Caenorhabditis elegans: one gene and its partner. The protein of the gene in region 1 interacts with the protein of each later gene in a pairwise test. Each region holds a gene or a part of one and is shown on either strand. Other genes may lie near its edges.

The links. The genes of interacting proteins can lie anywhere in the genome.
Region 2: the proteins of top-2 (region 1) and rnf-113 interact in a two-hybrid assay, tested with the Caenorhabditis elegans proteins (one large-scale study listed by BioGRID).

What each region holds. Positions count from the first base shown.
Region 1 is NC_003280.10:11,872,748-11,882,596, forward strand, and holds top-2 (DNA topoisomerase 2 top-2), read left to right. Parts: upstream 1-2,400; 5' UTR 2,401-2,409; coding exon 2,410-2,509; intron 2,510-2,556; coding exon 2,557-2,893; intron 2,894-2,946; coding exon 2,947-3,679; intron 3,680-3,712; exon of another isoform or gene 3,713-3,807; intron 3,808-3,808; exon of another isoform or gene 3,809-3,869; intron 3,870-3,883; exon of another isoform or gene 3,884-3,955; intron 3,956-4,024; coding exon 4,025-4,267; intron 4,268-4,317; coding exon 4,318-6,957; intron 6,958-7,005; coding exon 7,006-7,409; intron 7,410-7,450; coding exon 7,451-7,556; 3' UTR 7,557-7,841; downstream 7,842-9,849. Other genes in the region: npp-3 (Nuclear Pore complex Protein), read right to left, coding at 1-852, 1,007-1,211, 1,261-1,352, 1,413-1,764, 1,812-1,946. UniProt on the Caenorhabditis elegans protein: Control of topological states of DNA by transient breakage and subsequent rejoining of DNA strands. Topoisomerase II makes double-strand breaks.
Region 2 is NC_003281.10:10,753,709-10,760,016, reverse strand, and holds rnf-113 (putative E3 ubiquitin-protein ligase rnf113), read left to right. Parts: upstream 1-2,376; 5' UTR 2,377-2,379; coding exon 2,380-2,517; intron 2,518-2,580; coding exon 2,581-3,313; intron 3,314-4,035; coding exon 4,036-4,319; 3' UTR 4,320-4,393; downstream 4,394-6,308. Other genes in the region: tasp-1 (TASPase homolog), read right to left, coding at 1-29, 83-165, 217-250; K01G5.10 (Haloacid dehalogenase-like hydrolase domain-containing protein 3), read left to right, coding at 1,499-1,786, 1,833-1,931, 1,982-2,341; Chromobox protein homolog hpl-2, read left to right, coding at 4,507-4,548, 4,823-4,996, 5,264-5,502. UniProt on the Caenorhabditis elegans protein: May function as E3 ubiquitin-protein ligase that catalyzes the transfer of ubiquitin onto target proteins.

The DNA.
Region 1 (9,849 bases):
AACGATCGTAGCCTTTGAGTGCTGAAGCCAGAGATTCCCATCCATATGAATCTGGTCCACAATGTTCTTTGGAGAAGATGTCATAAAGTAGAGCAGCTGTGTTCTCATTTTTGCATACAGCAGCGCACATTTCCAGATAAGCAACTGAATGAACAACATGATGGTTTGGAAGACGAGCACGTTCCAGGAGCCGGCAGAGCTCAATCGATCTCTCCGTACTAAAAGCCATGCTGTTCTCTTCGATTTGCTCCTGAAGCTCTCGTTCGCGTGCTGTTCTCGCATTCTTCTGATGTGCATAGTCGGTCACTTGCATCTCGTATAAATCCACAAAGCATCGAAGGAAGTTCTCATATTGTGATAGAGCCGAATCATAGTTGTTCGATGGATCTGTAGAGCTCAGTTGAGCTGTAACTTTGTCCGTTATGTGGACTGTTTGGCTTTTCGGATCCGGTTTTTGAGTCGTTGATTGTTCCTTTTTCTGATCATCCAGGAAGTTCAGCTCGTCTGTAGAATTTCTTTCAGTCTCCATAAGCTTCGCGGGGAAATATGAAATCAGCTGTTTCAGAAGCTCATCAATAATCATAAACTGATGGGCATAACGGAAGTGTTCCGACTTGATGATCGCTTGTCGCAAGTAATGAAAAGCCATATTCCGGATAGATCGATCGATGACTCTTTCCACGTCCACCTTGATATTCTCGATCCCTAGATGATCTGATGGCGATGAGGCAATCGATTTCAGAGCAACAGCGCATGCTAGCTGTAGAGTTCCGCACATTGCTTGATCCGACCAGTCTGTTTCATTCCGAATGTGGGCGATCATGTTTGTGAGCACTTGTTGAGCATCGTGAACTGTAAACTCTCAAACAGATTTGTAACTGGATTTTTGGGTATAGGCATGAAGATGGAGTAGCGAGAATTGCTTTAGAAAATCGAAAATATTCTCGAATACAGAAAAACCACAAAAGAAAAACAGAAAAATCGCTACTCCATCTTCAAATATTACCTTGAGACAACACTTCACTCGATGTGATTTTAACGAGAGAAATCCAGGCTGTCAAGCTACTACAACTGAGCTTCTCCGGTGGAACTGCCTTTACAATTTGGAATAAATGATTTGAAATCGAAACTGCGTTTCCTCCCGGAATCTCACAGATCATCGAAATGCAACCAATTACTTCACTTCGAATCTCCTCAATGGCATTTCTGACCTGAAATTAATTTTATGAAAGAATTCCAAAATTATAATCAATTCGGTACCAATTTCTGATGTTTAGAGCCTCCTAAACCGTTGACATCTGGAGATTGAAGTCGTGCAAATTCTGATTGAACGGTGAAATTGATTAGTTGTTCTGAAAATTGGAAAAAAAAATTAGTAATATTTATGATAATATAATTTTTTGAAAACCCACGAAAAAGGTTTTTGATCACGTCCTCGTTGATGAATGTGCTATTGAGGAACTTGCTGATACGTTGAGGAATATCCTCTCGGTCCCATTTTAGCATTTGGCGCATTGTTGCGATTAGGAGCCTGTGCGCATCATAGTAGCAAACGACAGCGATTAATCCTCTGTTGAGGCCTTCGAAATGTATTTTTTGAGCTTCTCCGGCCAAAATCAAATCCACAGCTTCCAGCTCATTTAATTGAAAGATATCCGACAAAATGAGTGCTTCCGAACAGATTTCCTCGTCTAGCGCAACTTCCACTCCTGCCATTTCCACATTTCCTGGCTTCAGCTTTTCCCGATCTTTACCCGTTCGTCTCTTCAATTAGAAAGGTTTATTACACTAACATCAGTCGGAAAACATACCGGATTCAAAAGAATATTGCTCAATCGCCATCTGTATTTCTCGATTTCGTTGAACAGCTCGTTTATTTTTCGGTCGTCATCGAAAGCTGTGAAGGAGACGATGAGTTCGTAAAATTTACGAATCTCAATCCACATTTTGAGCTCTCTAAAATAAATAAAACATTATTTAGAACAAAAAGTTACTTTTTTTGAATTTTTTCGCAAAAAAATTACACAACTTCTATCTCGCAATGCATTTCCGTAAGAGACGCAGACACAAAAACTAAATTTCGTATTTCGAGGCTACAACTACGGTAACACTCGTTTCAGCTGTGTATTTTTCGCGCGTTCGCTGCGAGACCCGACGCTCTTAGGCCGCCAATTTCGAATCGGACGCTCATTTTGGCGCGCTCAGTTGTTTTTTTGTGCGCTCTCTAGCCGGCTGTCTTGCATCGATTCAGTGTTCAGTGTCCAGTGATGTCCACTGGTGTGCTAGTTCTTTTTCTCTTCACTCATTTTTCTTCGCATCCTCAAGTTTATTGAATATTCACCGCGTTTCTTTCTCTCTTTCTCCCGATCGTCCTAAAATTAAATGTCATCTTTTTCCAGATCTCTAACAATGAGCGACTCTGATAGTGAATTCTCTATCGAAGATTCACCCAAGAAGAAAACCGCACCAAAGAAGGAGAAGGCGTCACCGAAGAAAAAGAAAGATGATGGTTGGTTAATTTGTAGAGTTTCTTGAATCTAATTTGCTTCTTTTCAGCCAACGAGTCGATGGTTATGACTGAAGAGGACCGCAATGTGTTCACGTCGATCGACAAAAAAGGTGGTGGCTCGAAACAAATGGCGATCGAGGATATCTACCAAAAGAAGTCCCAACTCGAGCACATTCTTCTTCGCCCGGACACCTACATCGGTTCGGTCGAGCATACCGAGAAGACGCCGATGTGGGTCTACAACATGGAGGAGAGCAAGCTGGAGCAGCGTGACATCTCATACGTGCCGGGACTCTACAAGATTTATGATGAAATTCTTGTGAATGCCGCTGACAACAAACAGAGAGATCCGAAGATGAACACAATCAAGATCACCATCAATAAGTAAGTTTAGACCGTAGCATAAAGGAATTTAATTTAATTTTGCTTTCTTTCAGGGAGAAAAATGAGATCTCTGTCTACAACAATGGCAAAGGAATCCCAGTCACTCAGCACAAAGTGGAGAAAGTCTACGTCCCAGAGCTGATTTTTGGAACTCTTCTAACATCTTCTAACTACAATGACGATGAGAAGAAAGTGACGGGAGGACGCAACGGATATGGAGCAAAGCTTTGCAACATCTTCTCCACAAAATTCACTCTGGAGACGTCTTCACGGGATTACAAAAGTGCATTCAAGCAAACGTGGATCAAAAACATGACGCGTGATGAGGAGCCGAAGATTGTTAAGAGCACCGACGAAGACTTCACGAAGATCACATTCTCGCCGGATCTGGCAAAGTTCAAGATGAAGGAGCTGGACGATGACATCTGCCATTTGATGGCTCGGCGTGCGTATGATGTGGCTGGATCCAGTAAAGGAGTCGCCGTGTTCCTCAATGGAAAACGAATTCCAATCAAAGGATTCGAGGACTACGTCCAAATGTACACTTCGCAGTTCAACAATGAAGGAGAACCCCTCAAGATCGCATACGAGCAAGTTGGAGATCGTTGGCAAGTCGCCTTGGCTCTTTCGGAAAAAGGCTTCCAACAAGTGTCATTTGTCAACAGTATTGCTACCACAAAAGGAGGACGGCACGTGGACTACGTGGCTGATCAGATGGTCGCCAAGTTCATCGACTCGATCAAGCGGAAGCTCACAAAGACGTCGATGAATATCAAGCCATTCCAGGTAAATTTCGTCGAATTTAAAATATTTACCGCCAATGATGACTCAAAATAGCTATATGAACTCTTTGGTGACTCGATAATAAGAGAAATCTGAAAATTTTCAAGGTTTTTCTAGAGATTTCACCGATTCTTTTGAAGTATCGGTGCACCAAGTGAAAAATAAAATTGCGACGCTTTAGTGACGCTGGAGAAAGTTTTTATCCAGTGTCTAAAGGCGCGGCGCAACATTTTTAAACTTTCCGATGATTTGTGATTACTAAAAGGCGAATCTGAGGCGAGGAATTGCTAATGCGAATTCAAATCTAATAAATTTTCCAAATATTCAATTTTATATCAAAATTTTCAGATCAAAAATCACATGTGGGTTTTTGTGAATTGCTTGATCGAAAATCCGACATTCGACTCCCAGACGAAAGAGACTATGACCCTGCAGCAGAAGCAGTTCGGATCGACCTGCGTCCTCAGCGAGAAGTTCTCCAAAGCGGCTTCAAGTGTTGGAATCACCGATGCTGTTATGAGTTGGGTTCGCTTCAAACAAATGGACGACCTCAACAAAAAGTGCTCCAAGACGAAGACTTCCAAGCTGAAGGTAACAATTCATCTAATTCGTGGCCTTGTTTTAATTAATATTTATTTCAGGGCATTCCAAAGCTTGAAGATGCCAACGACGCTGGAACCAAAAATTCCCAACAATGCACATTAATTCTGACGGAGGGAGACTCGGCCAAAACGCTTGCTGTTTCGGGACTTTCAGTCGTTGGACGCGACAAATATGGAGTATTCCCACTTCGAGGAAAATTGCTAAATGTCCGAGAAGGAAATATGAAACAAATCGCCGATAATGCTGAGGTCAATGCCATGATCAAAATTCTGGGACTCCAATACAAGAAGAAGTACGAGACAGAAGATGACTTCAAGACTCTTCGATACGGTAAACTGATGGTCATGGCTGATCAGGATCAAGACGGTTCACACATCAAAGGACTCGTGATCAATTTCATCCATCACTTCTGGCCTTCTCTCATTCAGCGGAACTTCGTAGAAGAATTCATCACTCCAATTGTCAAAGCCACCAAAGGAAAAGAAGAAGTTTCCTTCTATTCGCTCCCAGAATATTCTGAGTGGAGAATGAATACGGATAACTGGAAGTCGTACAAGATCAAGTACTACAAGGGATTGGGTACATCGACTTCTAAGGAAGCTAAGGAATACTTCTTGGACATGGTTCGTCATCGTATCCGCTTCAAGTACAATGGAGCTGATGATGATAACGCTGTCGACATGGCTTTCTCGAAGAAGAAGATTGAAGAGAGAAAAGACTGGCTCTCGAAGTGGATGCGGGAGAAGAAGGACCGAAAGCAGCAGGGACTTGCTGAAGAATATCTCTACAACAAGGACACTCGATTCGTCACCTTCAAAGATTTCGTCAATCGTGAATTGGTCCTCTTCTCGAATCTCGACAACGAGCGTTCAATTCCATGCCTTGTGGATGGTTTCAAGCCAGGACAGCGGAAGGTTCTCTTCGCGTGCTTCAAGAGAGCAGACAAGCGTGAAGTCAAAGTAGCTCAATTGGCTGGAGCTGTCGCTGAAATTTCTGCTTACCATCACGGAGAACAGTCGCTTATGGGAACAATTGTGAATCTCGCTCAAGATTACGTTGGCTCCAACAACATCAACCTGCTTCTTCCAATCGGACAGTTTGGTACTCGTCTCCAAGGTGGAAAGGACAGTGCTTCAGCTCGTTACATCTTCACTCAACTGTCGCCAGTCACTCGTACACTCTTCCCGGCTCACGATGACAATGTCCTTCGTTTCCTTTATGAAGAAAATCAGCGTATTGAGCCAGAATGGTATTGCCCGATTATTCCAATGGTACTCGTCAATGGAGCTCAAGGCATCGGTACTGGATGGTCCACGAACATTCCTAATTACAATCCACGTGAACTGGTCAAGAACATCAAGCGTCTTATCGCCGGCGAGCCACAGAAAGCCTTAGCTCCATGGTACAAGAACTTCCGCGGAAAGATCATTCAAATCGACCCGAGTCGATTTGCATGCTATGGTGAAGTTGCTGTGCTGGATGACAACACCATTGAGATCACCGAGTTGCCAATCAAACAGTGGACTCAAGACTACAAAGAGAAGGTTTTGGAAGGATTGATGGAGAGCTCGGACAAGAAATCGCCTGTTATCGTCGACTACAAAGAGTATCACACAGATACAACTGTCAAGTTCGTCGTGAAGCTCTCGCCGGGAAAACTTCGTGAATTGGAGCGCGGTCAGGATCTTCATCAAGTCTTCAAGCTCCAAGCTGTCATCAACACTACGTGCATGGTACTTTTCGATGCTGCCGGATGTCTTCGTACATACACTTCGCCAGAAGCGATTACTCAAGAGTTCTACGATAGTCGCCAAGAGAAGTACGTACAGAGAAAGGAGTACCTTCTCGGAGTTCTTCAGGCTCAGAGCAAGCGTCTCACTAACCAGGCTCGTTTCATCCTCGCCAAGATCAACAACGAGATTGTTCTCGAGAACAAGAAGAAGGCGGCGATTGTCGATGTTTTGATCAAGATGAAGTTCGATGCTGATCCAGTGAAGAAGTGGAAGGAGGAGCAAAAACTCAAAGAGCTTCGTGAATCTGGAGAGATCGAGCTGGACGAAGATGATCTAGCTGCTGTCGCCGTCGAAGAGGACGAAGCCATTTCCTCTGCTGCGAAGGCCGTTGAAACCAAGCTATCAGACTACGATTACCTTGTCGGAATGGCTCTCATCAAGCTTTCGGAAGAAGAGAAGAATAAGCTCATCAAGGAATCGGAGGAGAAGATGGCTGAGGTTCGAGTTATCGAGAAGAAGACCTGGCAAGATCTTTGGCATGAGGATCTGGACAACTTCGTGTCTGAGTTGGACAAACAGGAGGCTCGCGAGAAAGCTGATCAAGATGCCAGCATCAAAAATGCCGCCAAAAAGCTTGCTGCCGACGCAAAGACCGGACGTGGACCCAAGAAGAATGTGTGCACGGAAGTCCTTCCATCCAAAGATGGACAGCGCATTGAGCCGATGTTGGATGCTGCAACCAAGGCCAAATATGAGAAGATGTCTCAGCCAAAGAAGGAACGCGTCAAGAAAGAGCCAAAGGAGCCGAAAGAACCAAAGAAGGTGAAAAAGGAAGGCCAGGACATTAAAAAGTTCATGTCTCCAGCTGCTCCGAAGACTGCGAAGAAGGAGAAAAGCGACGGCTTCAACTCTGACATGTCAGAGGAAAGTGACGTGGAGTTCGATGTAAGATTTCCTCTGTAATTTCTTCAACTTCTAAAATATTTTTTGCAGGAAGGAATCGATTTCGATTCGGACGATGACGGTGTGGAGCGTGAGGATGTCGTCTCAAAGCCAAAACCTCGTACTGGAAAAGGAGCTGCGAAAGCGGAAGTTATCGATTTGTCAGATGATGATGAAGTTCCTGCAAAGAAGCCTGCTCCAGCGAAGAAAGCTGCTCCGAAGAAGAAAAAGAGCGAGTTCAGCGATCTGTCTGGCGGCGACAGTGATGAAGAAGCTGAGAAGAAGCCGTCCACCAGCAAAAAGCCGTCTCCAAAGAAGGCTGCTCCGAAGACGGCCGAGCCCAAGTCGAAGGCGGTGACCGATTTCTTTGGTGCTTCAAAGAAGAACGGAAAGAAGGCCGCTGGTTCCGATGATGAAGACGACGAAAGCTTCGTTGTGGCTCCAAGAGAGAAGAGGTTAGTTTGAAAATTATTTTTAAAAAATGTAATTATTTCAGCGGAAGAGCTCGCAAGGCGCCACCAACTTACGACGTGGATTCAGGATCCGATTCGGATCAGCCAAAGAAGAAGAGGGGACGCGTCGTCGACTCCGACTCGGATTAAATTAATTTGTTTCCCACCTTCCTTAAGTGTTTCTAATTTATTTTCTTTCCAATCATTTTAAAATCGTTTTAACGATCTCAACCATCCCCATCCTCCCCCAAATCATCCCGTATATTAAGTTTGTATTTTTACATGAGGGAAACTGCTGTAATATAATTATCGCCCTTATGCCTAAATTATTTACCCCTACCTAATTTCACTGTTTTTAAAAGTTATTTTTCTATTTATGTGAGTCTCAAGAATTATTGAGAAGAGTCTTCTTGCAATGAAAATGCCTATATTTCCAAAGCTTCCAACCTATATGCAGGTCTTCATCGTTTGTGTCGCTTGAGAAATGACGATGACAAGTCGTAAACGGTCTGTGTCCTTCTTCGTTGCATCCAACGTCTTGTTCCTACTGTTTTCTATTCCCCTATCGATCACACACTGTGTGTGCGTGTCCTTGGGCCTCTACCGTTTTTGAGGTCGAACATTTTAGACATTCAGGCGAACAATGAGATTTAGAGAGACACATGGAATCGCCTCCCCGGGAGAACTGGAGACTCGAGATGATTTGGTAGTCAGATAAGAAGAATCAATTGTATATTGAAGAAAAATGTAGAAATTAGGGAAACTTTTAAAGATAAAATTTAAAAATAAAATGCATTCGGCGCCAAGCTGAATGTGTCTCTAGTCATAGTCCTTGCTTTGTGGAGGATATTATGACTAACGAGCACATCCAGCGTGGCACATGGTGCATGAGCAGCTGAATACTGGAACGAAATTTGAATAAGTTGATTCTCAGAAGTTTGGCCGATGGCGGTATCGAGTGAAAGGGTCAAAAGGAAATGAATGTCAAGAGAGAGAGAGAGACCGACCTGTTTGAGAGAAGAAGGAGAAACTGGGCGGGGTTTTGGTAACAGGGGAAAGGATAAGGAAAAAGTTGGAGAGTTTGGGGTGAAGGTGAAAATAGTCGAAAGTTGAGAGGGGCGGGGCATCGTGTCTCGAGAAGCTGGAAGATTCTGGAAAATCTGAAAAAAACACCTTTTTTAAAAAGGTATTCCGTGATCGTGGCAAGACCTGGGAAATGGGAATTATATTTTAGAAATGTACAAAAAAATCGTGGCGAGACCCACCAAGGTTTTTACAATATAAAAATATCAACTAACTTTGAATTCGCGGAAAAAGTCAGTTTTCAAAAAAAAAACTACAAATTCTCGTTTCCATTACTTTTCAGAAATTAGCTATACAGTAGAGAAGGCGCTCACGAAACTTCTCAAACGTAGATCAAACCAGGGGTGGGCGGCGAATGGCGTTCGGCAAATTGATATGTCGACAAATTCGGCAAATCGACAAATTGCCGGTTTGCCGATTTGCCGGAAATTTTTAATTCCGGCAAATTGTCGGTTTGTCGATTTTCCGGAAATTTAAATTCCAGCAATTTGCCGATTAGCCGGAAATTTAAATTCCAGCAATTTGCCGATTTGCCGGAAATTTTCCATTCCGGCAAATTGTCGATTTGCCGGAAATTTTTATTTTCGGCAAATTGCCGGTTTGCCGTTTGCCGGAAATTTAAATTCCAGCAATTTGCCGATTTGCCAGAAATTTTCCATTCCGGCAAATTGTCGATTTGCCGGAAATTTTTATTTTCGGCAATTTGCCGATTTGCCGTTTGCCGGATATCTAATTTGCCGGAAATGTTTAGAGGGACTTTTTATAAGACAGAAACACTGAAAACTGTGCTTTTTTGAATTTTTTCCCGTTTTTTCTACATATTTTCATAGAATTTGCTTGCTTTTCAAAATAGATGTAAGAGAATTCATAGGATGTGTTCAGTTTTGTCATTTGAAATTGGAATTCTGAAGTTTCGAAAAATAAGTGCAAAACCGTATTTGCCGAAAATTTTCGGCAAATCGGCAATTTGCCGGTTTGCCGGAAATTTTTAATTCCGGCAATTTGCCGATTTGCCGATTTGCCGGTTTGCCGGAAATTTTCAATTCCAGCGATTTGCCGGTTTGCGGGAAATTTTTAATTCCGCCAATTAGCCGGTTTGCCGATTTGCCGGAAATTTCAATTCCGGCAATTTGCCGATTTGCCGATTTGCCGGAAAAATCGTTTGCCGCCCACCCCTGGATCAAACCGGCATGGGACACTCTGACGCCACGTGTATTTCTGGATTTTTTGAAAAATTTTACCGTTGCTATTATTTATCGGCGTGTTCCTTAAAAACCTGTATCTAAAAATAAAACACGCAACCACGTAAAAACAAAGCCACGTGGCAGTTGCGATGTTGATTTTTTTGATCACAATCGGC
Region 2 (6,308 bases), on another chromosome or scaffold:
CAGTTGAACTTTTCTATTCTTTCAAGATCCTGCAAAAAAAATTAAATATATTTCGTGAGAAAACCAAAAAAGAATTCCTCACCGTCAACGCATTCTCAACAGTGCCTGTACCACACGCAAAACGGCAGTCCTCGGCAAGACTTGCGTCGAATTTAGCACACGCACCTGCAAGATTTAAATTTTGCCGCAAAAAATCGATAATTAGTGTGCGCAAACCTCCGTGCACCGCGATTATCTCGCAGTTGCTCATTTTTTGAGGTTTTCTTCGAGTAGAACTCCACTGAATCGATGTTTCAGAAGGATTTTATTATCTCCGGCCACCAGGACGGGAATGTCGTATTTGAATTTCTGAAAATTAGGAATTTAAACTACCTATTTTTAAATTTTCTGTATTTATATTTTTATTAAATGAGAAAATAGAATACAAAACAAAAAAAACGTAGACGTAGAAGAAAGTCTCACTTCAATTAGCTCTGGCGATTCTTGGGCGAGATTTTTCTCGACGACAACAATCCCGGGATGCTTTTTAAGATAGTTTTTGAGTTGTCTGTGAAAATGTACGCACAGCGAGCAGTTTTGCGATGAGAAAAGCACGAGTTCGACGGGTTTGGACGAGGAGAAGGAGCGCTGCAAAGCACGAGGAAATGTGATCATTTGAATTGGCGTCAAAATCACATGGTAAAACTAGGCCGCGCATGACCTGAGCACGAGACACTCTCTCGGCCATTTTCAAGTTGGCGCGCTGTGTCACACACTCCGGTGGAGCGTGTTGTGGCGGAGTGTATGAGAAGTGTGCGAGTGGTTTGCGTTCGGCGCACTCCGCCCACTTTTTCCGTGCCGCACGCGGGTCTTTCGAATTTTATCGATTTTTTAAAAGTGTTTTTTTAGTTTATTTTTGTTTTTGACGAATTTATGAGGGATTTCTTGCGATTTTGGATTTTAAATAAAGAAATAGGTTTAAATATAAAAAATATCTTTAGATAAAGTATTCCTAATCGATGAAACAAGTGGAGTCAAGGAAATCTCTAGTTTTTCCTTCTAAATACTCGAAGCAAGCCAAAATGAACGAATTTTGTGATAAGATTTCTTTTAAATTGTTCAAAAATTGTTATTCTGTTCAAAATCAGGTGTTGGAAATTAATTGATTTTGGCTGAGAAATCGTTATTTGGAGAGTTTGAACAGTAAATTGAACTCTTTTTTTTCTACAGAAATATCTCTGAAATTCGGATGCAAAAACCTTTTTTCTTTTAAGAAGCCTAGTGTTATCCCTATGCATCTCGAAAAACTTCTCAAAAATTCCTGATGTTTGAATTCGAAAAATCGATTTCCGATACTTCCAATATTATTTTCTACGAAATCGTCATTTAAATAGTTAAAATGCAGTATTTCCGTCGTTAAAATATTGTTTTCGGCCAATTTGGAGGAAAATTTTCAATCAACACACTAACCTTTTCTTTGGAAATCTAAAAAAAACTCTAGATTTCCATATTTAGCTCAATGCTCTCCAACCTGCTCCGTACAACTTCTCGTAACCTTTCCACCCCTCCAGTCGTGAAAGTTCTCTCCCTAGATGCTCGTGATACACTAATCACGATGAAAGAGTCTCCACCGATAGTTTATTCCCGTTTCGCGAGGCAATATGATTTGGAAGTCGACTCCGATCAAATCATGGGAAGCTTTCTTAAAAATTATAAACGAATGAGCATCGCATCGCCCTGCTTTGGGTTCAATGGAATTGGAAACAAAAGTTGGTGGATTGAAGTAGTTTCTTCTACGCTTTTGGATGTAGGTGTAATCTGAATTAGGCAAGTCCCCTACTTGATAGTTTCAGTGTGCTCCGGATTCTGAAAAAGGACGGGTTGAAGTGATCGCTGGAGCTTTGTACAATCACTATGCAACTCCTGAGCCGTGGAAACTAGTTGAAAGCGATGTAAATTTTGTGAATTGTTGAAAAAAAAATACTGCAATTTTTCATTTTAGACGCGCCAAACTCTGCAAAAACTTCGCCTGAAAGGAATCATCCTGGTTGTCATCTCCAATTTCGATAGTCGCTTGAAATCTCTACTTTCTCAATTCAATTTACTCGATCTTTTCTCCATGACAGTTCTCTCCGGCGAAATTGGGTACGAAAAGCCCGATGAGAAGATCTTCCAGCTAGTTGTCAACCATTTCGATCTAATTTCTCCCTCGGAAATCTTGCACATTGGAGACAATTTGAAAAATGATTTCCATGGCGCCAAAAATTTCGGCTGTAGAGCTCTATTGTTTGATTCATCTTCCTCTCATAATGTTGAACCGTTTTATTGTATTTCTCGTTTGTCAGATTTGAAGCTTTATTAATTAATTGAATTTAATAAATAGTTTTAATTTTTCAGATAATGGATCTCTTCCGAAAACCGAAAAAGCGCAATGCACCCGTCGTTCGTAAAAAGGAAAGCTCAAGTGATGAGGATCAAGATTCAGAAGTGAAGGATGTGATTCAAAAGCGACGTCGTACGAATCCGATGGTCCAGTCGGTGAGATCTTGGTACTTTAGTGCTCCAAAATTTTGGAAAATCCCAATAAACTTTGAAATTCAGACCAAACAACTAGACGCCTCAACACGACGTGCTGATAATTCATCGGATGATTCTGACGACTCTGACGACAATCAGGATATCGCAGTAGCAACTCACTCGTTCGCCGCTTCAGGAGATGCCGGTCCATCTGGACCACGTGATCAAGGTGCCACTGCAACACTCGAAGTGGACACAGACTATTCACACGATGCCCAGGCTCAATTCGAACGAGTCCAACAGCAACTGAAGGAAGGCGTCGAGAAAGACGGAAAAATTCTGTACAAGGGAAGTGCACTGTATGGAGCCAAAGAGGCGAAGGATACGGCCAAGGGAAACGCTGCAAGTGGTTATAATCGAGTTGGGCCCGTTCGGGCGCCACAATTTCTACGACAAACAGTCCGTTGGGATTTTGCACCGGATATTTGCAAGGATTACAAGGAGACTGGATTCTGTACGTTTGGAGATTCGTGTAAATTTGTGCACGACCGATCGGACTATAAACACGGATGGGAGATTGATGAGGAGTACGAAGCAGGAAAATATGGTGCTGAAGACGATGCGAATTACGAGATTCATGAAGGCGACGATACGTTTCCGGAGGATTGTTTTATTTGCGGAAATCCATTTGTTGATCCGATCGTGACAAAATGCAAGCACTACTTTTGCACCGGTTGTGCGTTGAAATCGTTCCAAAAGTCGTCAAAATGCCCAATATGTCAGCAGAATACTGAGAATATTATGAATACCGCAAAAGGTTTGAAATAGAACGATTAATTCGTGATTTTCGCAAGTTTTGGAAGGTTTTTCGGCGCAGTTTGATACTTACATGTTACGGAGGATACTGCACGTGGACAAGCGTGAATCTTTTTTCACATTTTTTGGACAATAATAAGACATTATAACTAGAAAGAGAGGAGGAGCCTAATTTCGCAACTCTGCGGCACGATTTTTCGACAATTTTCCACTGTTTTTTTTTTTGGTTTTTTTTCTGGTTTTTTTTTCCAAAAAACTTCGATTCTTCCTGTTTTATTTTTTTTTACGAGAAAAAAATCAAATTTAATTCGCATAACATTTCGATTATAGTTCATATTTTTACAACCAATTTAGCTTGAAATATCCTCCCAATCTAATGTGAATTAAAAGGAATAAAATCGAAACTTTTATGGAAAAACCCCAAAAAAGAAAAAGGAAAACCGTGCCGCATGGTTGCAAAATTGGTTGCAAAATTACGTTCCGCCTCTTTTTCTGCTTTTTGGAAAACTCATTTCTTTGGTAATTTGGAATGTTGGAAGAGAATCAGCGAAAATAGTTCAAAAAAGTAAATTTCAGCCAATAACTCACAGTTGTCCGGGTGAAGTACAAAATCCTTCGTAAATTTACATGCAACAAACCGCGCTTTTAATCCAAAACTTGCGAAATTCACAAGATAGTAGCTCGAAAAATGTGGCAAAAAAAAATTAATTTTTAAATTTTCAGAGCTCCTAACCTACCTGAAACGGAAGAAGCAACAACAGAAGCAAGAAGCCGAGAAACAGGAAGAAGAAAAAGATAGTGACGATGATGAAAAACCACACGAATGCGACGATCACCATCATCATGATCACGAAGATGAGCCCGAGGAGCCTGAAAACGACTCAAATGTTCCAGAAGCCGAGGAGAAGAGCGATGAGGAACAGGAGATTATGATGGAGGATGTGGAAGGGCTTGAAGGTGGAGAAAATGACTCTGAGAGTGATGATGATGATGCTGAAAAAGATTGATAATTTTTATTTTTTTTTTAAATATTTCTGTACGGTGATTGTCTGTGAGTAAACTAAATATGATTTTTTTTCTTGTTCGAGCCTTTTTTTAATTTCAAGATATTGTTCGAATCTTTATTCCATATTTTTTCTATGTTTTTTCAGATTTCTCCCATTTTAGCTCAAATTTATTTCAGCAATTTCAAAAATGTCGAGCAAATCAACAAAGCGAGCAAAAATCGAAGATCCGGTATGGAACGGCGAAAAAACCAAAAAATCTATTTTTACAACAAAAAAAACTAAAAAATACAATTTTGCAACGAAAAAAAACCAAAAAACAGTCCATTTTGCAAAAAAACAATAAATCAATTTTTGCACTAAAAAAAATATTTTAAAAAAACAATTTTGCAACAAAAAATCTATTTTTGCATAAAAAATCCAATTTTGCTAGAAACAAAGCGACAGTATAAGTTCCCCGACAAAGAAAAAAAAAGTCACATTTTATTCAAAAATCTGATTTCCAGAAGGACAACGTGTTCATGGTGGAAAAAGTGCTGGACAAGCGAACTGGAAAAGCCGGCAGAGACGAATTTCTCATACAGTGGCAAGGATTCCCCGAGTCTGACTCTAGCTGGGAGCCGAGAGAGAATCTCCAGTGCGTCGAGATGTTGGACGAGTTTGAGAGGGAATTTTCAAAGGTTTTGAAGAATTTTTTAAAGTTTATTTTACTTGAAATGGTCCTAAAAAGCGAATTTCATAGTGAAAATTGTTTGAAAAATCTTCGATTTTGCCCACTTTTCCGTGCTGCAACTGTTTAAATTAGATTTTTGTTCGATTATTCTCCTATTTTCACACGGAAAAGCTGGTAAACTTGAAGATTTTAACTAAAATTAGGTTTTTTAGAGTTAAAATTACAAAGTCATAAAATCCGATTTTTCTGCAACAAACTTATTTTATTTTTACAGAGAGAGAAACCAATTCGCAAACGACACAGCCAGAAGCCCGAACCTTCCGAAGATCAAGCGGATCCAGAAGAGGATAAAGATGAAAAGAAGGAAACGAATCAAAATGACAAATTCTCACTGGAAGGCAAGCAGTTAAAATGCATTGTCGGGCTCACCAAGGGACCTGGGGAACTTCATTTTCTGTGCAAATTCAGTGATGACACGGCACGGCTTCTTCCAGCGAAGGAGGTGAACAGTCGGTGAGTTTGGGAATTGCTCCCGGTTGATTAAAAGTGTATTACGGAAACACTCCACCCAAAAACTTTAAAAGTATCCGAAAAAAAATATTACGGGAACACAAAATTCTGAGAATGCGTATTGCGCAACATATTTGACGCGCAAAATATCTCGTAGCGAAAACTACAGTCATTCTTTAAATGACTACTGTAGTGTCGATTTACGGGCTCGAGTTTTGAAATGGATTTTTGTTCAAATAGTGGCATTTTTGCTTAATTTTAATATTCTATCGGTAAATCAAAAAAATATGATTTCGAAAATAGAGCCCGTAAATCGACACAGGCACTACAGAATTTACTGTATTTACTGTACTGTAGTTTTCGCTACGAGATATTTTGCGCGATACGCATTTTCAGAATCTTGTGGTCTCGTGATACGCGTCGATGGGGATTTCACTCTAAAATATGCCGGCTGTACTGCACATAAGTGCCGAAATACCGAAATACCACGAAAAATATGAAAAATTGGACTTTTTCACTAAGAAATTCGAGGAAAAACGGAACAATTGCGTTTAAATTGATAAAAACCATGGCGCGGTAATTCAAACATTCAAAATTTTTCTGACTATTCTGCGTATTTAAAACTGAAATCCCGATCGGCGCTAGAGTTTTTAGCTAGGAAGCGAACCTCAATTTGGCATTTAAAAAAGCTCTAAATTTCAGCTATCCGAGCCAAGTTATCAGATACTACGAATCCAAGCTAACAATCCAAGACCCAAAAGCCGACGAGCTTTAATCACTCCCCACCCCGATACACGTGTTCAATATCA